Callithrix jacchus: one gene and its partner. The protein of the gene in region 2 purifies or fractionates together with the protein of the main gene of each other region. This does not show direct contact. Links are inferred from orthologs where the notes say so. Each region holds a gene or a part of one and is shown on either strand. Other genes may lie near its edges.

What was found. Proteins that work in one complex are often made in the same cells at the same time.
Region 1: the proteins of EHMT2 (region 2) and MIER1 purify together in Homo sapiens (co-immunoprecipitation; 3 studies listed by BioGRID and IntAct, with this or other methods). This does not show direct contact. The link is inferred for Callithrix jacchus from reciprocal best matches to the Homo sapiens genes EHMT2 and MIER1.

The regions. Positions count from the first base shown.
Region 1 is NC_133508.1:104,195,995-104,198,732, forward strand, and holds the end of MIER1 (mesoderm induction early response protein 1), read left to right. Parts: intron 1-1,575; coding exon 1,576-1,904; 3' UTR 1,905-2,147; downstream 2,148-2,738. UniProt on the Homo sapiens protein: Transcriptional repressor regulating the expression of a number of genes including SP1 target genes. Probably functions through recruitment of HDAC1 a histone deacetylase involved in chromatin silencing.
Region 2 is NC_133505.1:39,395,548-39,399,201, reverse strand, and holds part of EHMT2 (histone-lysine N-methyltransferase EHMT2), read left to right. Parts: intron 1-629; coding exon 630-767; intron 768-889; coding exon 890-1,004; intron 1,005-1,162; coding exon 1,163-1,264; intron 1,265-1,485; coding exon 1,486-1,634; intron 1,635-1,726; coding exon 1,727-1,870; intron 1,871-1,958; coding exon 1,959-2,194; intron 2,195-2,272; coding exon 2,273-2,455; intron 2,456-2,573; coding exon 2,574-2,656; intron 2,657-3,126; coding exon 3,127-3,233; intron 3,234-3,327; coding exon 3,328-3,450; intron 3,451-3,541; coding exon 3,542-3,643; intron 3,644-3,654. UniProt on the Homo sapiens protein: Histone methyltransferase that specifically mono- and dimethylates 'Lys-9' of histone H3 (H3K9me1 and H3K9me2, respectively) in euchromatin.

The sequences.
Region 1 (2,738 bases), on a different chromosome or scaffold from region 2:
CTGAGACTCCTTGGCTCAGGGAGGCAGACAGTTGGGACTACTACTGCTTTTCCTGTTTGTTCTTAACATATTAACACTAAATAAATCATTTTCTTTTCCTTTTTAAAAAACTTTGATGAGAACATGCTTCTTTAGGATAGTGTTCCTAAGTTACTATCCTAAATTACTATAAATTACTCGTAGCTCAAAAGCCACTCACATTATGTACAGTCAAGACTGCCAGCTTTTTCAAAGAAAGGAAGGAACTTTCCATCCCAATATTATAGTACTTTTTTATATGGGATTTTAATTAGTACTTTGAAATCTTACAATTATTTGTGACCTAATCACAGTCTCAGCTAGCTTTTTGGACTTGATCCTACAGAATTGTTCTCTTCAATATCTTATGATGCATAATCCCCATGTGCATTCATGATTTGAGTGCATTTTTGAGTTGATCAAAATATTTTGTTTGATCAAAATACAATATTTGAGGCTCATCCTTTATGTTGAATATTTTTCAGGCAATTAAATTGTAATTATTCAGTGATGATGCATCCTATATTTTACTTCGTATCACTAAAATTTCCATTCATTTTACAGTCAACTCTAAAGTGAACTTTTCTGTTTTATTACAATAATTTTGCTTTTACTTTTCTCCTCTATTGTAGAAGAATTTGTTTTACTTTTAGCACTTTCAAGTATATGCTTGGATAGGGCAACATTAGCTTTTTAACATTATGACAGATATATTTAAGTCTACTTAGGTAAATAGTGTGTGATCTTTTTTTTTTTGAAATGGAGTCTTGCTCTGTTGCCCAGGCTGGAGTGCAGTGTTACCATTTTGGCTTACTGCAACCTCCGTCTCCCAGGTTCAAGCAATTCTTCTGCCTCAGCCTCCTGAGTAGCTGGGACTACAGGCCTGTTCCACCACGCCCGGCTAATTTTTGTATTTTTAGTAGAGGTGAGGTTTCACCATATTGGCCAGGCTGATCTTGAACTCCTGACCTCGTGAGCCACCATGCCTGGTTGTATGTGATGTTTTAAAAGCACAGTTCCCAGAGATTTACATTAAGAATAAAGTCATCATATCTTGCCTTTATATGGTAGCTTACTCAAGCTTTTATAAGAAAGGATATTCATTTTGCTTTTTACATAGTTTCAGAATGTTGAAAACCTTTTGTTAAATCTGAGTAATTTATTGCATTTTTCATTGTTAATTCAGCTTATTTAGATTTCTGGATCCAGTGCTTATTTGCTGTCACATATACCTAAAATGCTTTTAATATATGCCAAATTCTCTTCTTAGTTCTTTACATTTATGAACTTATTTAATTTTCACAACAACCCTGTGTGGAATTTCTATTATGATCTTCATTGTATATATGTAATGAAATGGAGGTAGAGAAAGAGTAAATAATTTGCCTAAGGTCACATAACTAATAAGTAATAGAGCAAGAATTCAGACTGTATATATATATTTGATACCTTGCTTACTTGATAACAATAGCAATTTTACAGTAAGCTGTTTTACAGTAGTTTGCAAATTTAGCTTTTTTGTAATTGTGGTTTCATTTTATGTTTCTTTCAACTTAGGAGTGTCATCTAATGGACCAGGTGAAATATTAAACAAAGAAGAAGTAAAAGTTGAAGGGTTACACATTAATGGACCAACAGGTGGAAATAAGAAACCACTTCATGGAGATATGGATACTAATGGTTATGAAACAGATAACCTTACCACTGACCCAAAACTTGCCCATATGACTGCAAGAAATGAAAACGATTTTGATGAAAAAAGTGAGAGACCTGCCAAAAGGCGAAGGGTAAACAGCAGTGGAAAAGAAAGTCCAGGTTCTTCTGAATTTTTCCAAGAAGCAGTCTCACATGGGAAATTTGAAGAACTTGAAAACACAGATGACTAAATTTTAGACCTATTTTACTTTCTTTGGAGTAAATTCTGGTGTGACTAAAATTTTCAGGGTTGATGGGTTACCTTAAAAAGTTGAATTTCTTGAAGCAGTTTGTTAAAATTTGGAAATTTGAATTGAGTCTTAACTTTAGGAAATGAGGTTTCATAATTCTGCCTTTTGCAGATTTTTTTTACTTTAAAGCTGTCAGACTCTTTTAAGGATATTTTAAAAATTAGTAAATTTGAGTGAACTAAAGATATATCTGCACCTTCTCATTTGATGTATTAATCATAAAATTTCACTACGAGGTAATTTTTGCTTAGTTTGATGGAGGAATGGGAAAAAACTCAAGTCCAAATTTCTGCTTAACACCAGTTTCTCTGAGTTTCTTGAAATGTCTTGTCTTTATAACAGACATTTTTCTTGCCATACAGTTTGAGTATCATTATTAAGGAAACCCTTATGAATCCTGAAAATTATGCTAGCATGATTTTTTTATATATAGAAGTTTAAAAATAAACCAGGTCAGGTTTGTATATGTAAAATTGTTGACATCAATGATGTCTTTCCATATTCTTATCTGGGCTTAAGAAATACATTCTGTATTTTTCCAGATTCTTTGTAGCCTTTGAAAGATTTTTACAGTACATATGTCTTGACTGAGCTGTCCTTTCTTAATACAAAAGCTTGTATAATTTTCTTAACTTGTACAGTTGGTAAACTTTTATGAGAGGAATTGTTATTCTGAGTCTGTCAGCTTTCATTTTATTTTGCTAAGGTTTTTCTAATGATTTTTTAAGTGTTTGTGTAGTAATTAAGTCATATTTCTTATCCAGGTGGTAAAAG
Region 2 (3,654 bases):
AGGTCAGTTGTCCTACAGAATTTCTCATATTTAGGAGTTAGCTGATTGGGTGGAGATTGACACATTCTCTCTGCCGATATTTCTTGTAAACCAATAGATTTAGAAGCATAATCACTTCAGGTGCCAAGAAGACTTGACAGTGGATGTGAGCGCTTCTGGCGGCATCACATAAGGATGCATGGAGCATCTGGTCATTTTTCTTGTTAGCAATAAGATTGACCAGTGGGTTCAGGTGCCATCAGTCTGAACCTTTTATATAAAGTTTCTCATGAACTTTGTGTATAGCGGTTTTAGCAACCATTGGTGGTCTTACCTGTTTATGACCATCATAAAAGGGGTATTAAACCTCATGTTTATCTTCTGGTCCTTGCTTTTTATTTTTTAACTTAATGTTTATTACCAAGATCTGTGCACATAGCTGTCTGTAACTGTGGCACCTTTTTTCACTGCTGTATAACATTCCACACGTCGTCTCTTTACGTAGCCCTTTGTCTCCTCTCCTCCCCACACTCCTCTTCTCCAGGAACCATCATGGGTAGTGGGAGGTGGCAATGGTGGTGGTGGTTTTCATTATCCACCTCATTGTCTGAGTCCTGGGGGTTGGATATGTCCTGTTCCGCCTCTCCCAGTCGGAAGTTGAAGCTCTAACTGAACAACTAAGTGAAGAGGAGGAGGAGGAAGAGGAGGAAGAAGAAGAAGAGGAGGAAGAAGAGGAGGAAGAGGAAGAAGAGGAGGAAGATGAGGAGTCAGGGAATCAGTCAGATAGGGTAAGAGATGGAGGCTGACATCACCAGAGGAGTGGGAGACTGTGGGGCCGGATGTCTGGTCCTGAAGGTGTTGTGGGGAGCCCTGAGGGCGAGGGTTCCTAACTACTCCTCCCCCTTCCCAGAGTGGTTCCAGTGGCCGGCGCAAGGCCAAGAAGAAATGGCGAAAAGATAGCCCATGGGTGAAGCCATCTCGGAAACGGCGCAAGCGGGAGCCTCCAAGGGCCAAGGAGCCACGAGGTGAGGAGGCTCTGCTGCTTTTGGGTGCCCTCCTCCAGCCCCACCCAGTCCCCAGAGTGCGTGCACGCACACACACGCTCTCGCATGTCCACCTGCATGTACCCACACATCCAGATACCTGTGAGCTCGCACTCTCACTCTCTCTGTCTCTGTGTCAGGAGTGAATGGTGTGGGCTCCTCAGGCCCCAGTGAGTACATGGAGGTCCCTCTGGGGTCCCTGGAGCTGCCCAGCGAGGGGACCCTCTCCCCCAACCACGCTGGTAATTGCCAATTGCTGGGACAGGGAGCCACTAGGTGGTGACCTCAGGGCAGGAGGGAAAGGGGAGGAGGGAAACCACACCAGAGCCGGGGTGTCCATGGCCAGGCTTTGGGGGTTCTGGGGCATGGGGGGGTGAGGTAGGGTGGGAATGAGAGGACCCGCCAGGGGTCCCAGTGGGTGAGGTCCAGGGCCTCCCTCAGCTCCTCTTTTCCTCTGTCCAAGGGGTGTCCAATGACACATCTTCACTAGAGACAGAGCGCGGGTTTGAGGAGTTGCCCCTGTGCAGCTGCCGCATGGAGGCACCCAAGATTGACCGCATCAGCGAGAGGGCAGGGCATAAGTGTATGGCCACGGAGAGTGTGGACGGAGAGGTGGGGCCGTGTGCTGGTGGGAGAGGTGCCAGGGCGTCCAGTCCTGGGCCCTATCCTCACCCTCTCTTTTCACTCATCCTCACTGTACACAGCTGTCGGGCTGCAACGCTGCCATCCTCAAGCGGGAGACCATGAGGCCATCCAGCCGCGTGGCCCTGATGGTGCTCTGTGAGACCCACCGTGCCCGCATGGTCAAACACCACTGCTGCCCGGGCTGTGGCTACTTCTGCACGGCGGTGAGCGACTGACCACTGGGATAATCTGGTAGCATGCCCCATAACAGGGGGGCCCCAGGAACCTGACCACATCGTTTCCCTGCTCCAGGGCACCTTCCTAGAGTGCCACCCCGACTTCCGCGTGGCCCACCGCTTCCACAAGGCCTGTGTGTCCCAGCTGAATGGGATGGTCTTCTGTCCCCACTGTGGGGAGGATGCTTCTGAGGCTCAGGAGGTGACCATCCCCCGGGGTGACGGGGTGACCCCTCCAGCCGGCACTGCAGCTCCTGCACCCCCACCCCTGTCCCAGGATGCCCCCGGGAGAGCGGACACTTCCCAGCCCAGGTACTGGCCTTCTGCTTCTCTACTGTCTGTTCCTGCCCCACCCCTATTGCTCCTGGACATGAGCTCCTTCTTCCACAGTGCCCGGATGCGAGGCCATGGGGAGCCCCGGCGCCCACCCTGTGATCCCCTGGCCGACACCATCGACAGCTCAGGACCCTCCCTGACCCTGCCCAATGGGGGCTGCCTTTCCGCAGTGGGGCTGCCACTGGGGCCAGGCCGGGAAGCCCTGGAAAAGGCCCTGGTCATCCAGGAGTCAGAGAGGTGAGTGGGGAGTTGGTCAGCCACAGCAGCTGGGGCTGGGTCCAGAGCAAATGTGTTGAGGCTGATGCTGGAATCTGAGGAGCCCCCGTTTTCTCCCCACTCCCATGTCCCTTGGCAGGCGGAAGAAGCTCCGTTTCCACCCTCGGCAGTTGTACCTGTCCGTAAAGCAGGGCGAGCTGCAGAAGGTGATCCTGATGCTATGTGAGTGCCGCCCATTCCTTCAGCAGACCTTGACCAAGCTCCATGTGTATACCAGGCACTGGGCTCACGGCCAGGAGGAGAGTCATGCAGGACACAGTCCTTGCCCTGAAGGACTTAGTGTGGTGGGGAAAAAACACATATAACCCACGACGATGGGGACAGTGGTGACTCATAGGTGCCAGATCCTGTTCTGAGTGCTTACACTTGTTAGCCTTGGCACAGAGAGGTTAGGGACCTTGCACAGTGCCCAGTGGTACTGAGAGACAAGGCAGGGTTTGCATTCACGCAGAGCTGATGCCTTTAACTCCTTATTCTGATAAATGCCATGGTGGAGGCAAGCTCAGAGAATGCCAGGAGGGGCCCTGACCCAGCTTGGGGCCTGAGAAGCCTTCCTGAAGAAATGCCCCCTGCCCCCTAGCTTGCTTACCACTTGTCCCTCCCTCTCCCGGTGTGGCGGGCTCTCCCCGCAGTGGACAACCTGGACCCCAACTTCCAGAGCGACCAGCAGAGCAAGCGTACACCCCTGCATGCAGCCGCCCAGAAGGGCTCCGTGGAGATCTGCCATGTGCTGCTGCAGGTCAGCACGGGCCCATGCCTCATTGACTAGGCCCTTAGACCCCTCCCCTGCCCCATCCCTCCCTGGTGCCAGCCCTCCTGCCCCCTCCTCACAGGCTGGAGCCAACATAAATGCAGTGGACAAACAGCAGCGGACGCCACTGATGGAGGCCGTGGTGAACAATCACCTGGAGGTGGCCCGTTACATGGTGCAGCGTGGCGGCTGCGTCTATAGCAAGGTGCACGCGCGGGCAGCAGGGCATGGCCCCCAGAGTCAGGGACGAGGTTTTGGGTGCCAGCCGGAGGCTCATTTGCCCATGTCTCCCCCAGGAGGAGGACGGTTCCACCTGCCTCCACCACGCAGCCAAAATCGGTAACTTGGAGATGGTCAGCCTGCTGCTGAGCACAGGACAGGTGGACGTCAATGCCCAGGTCAGCAGTCC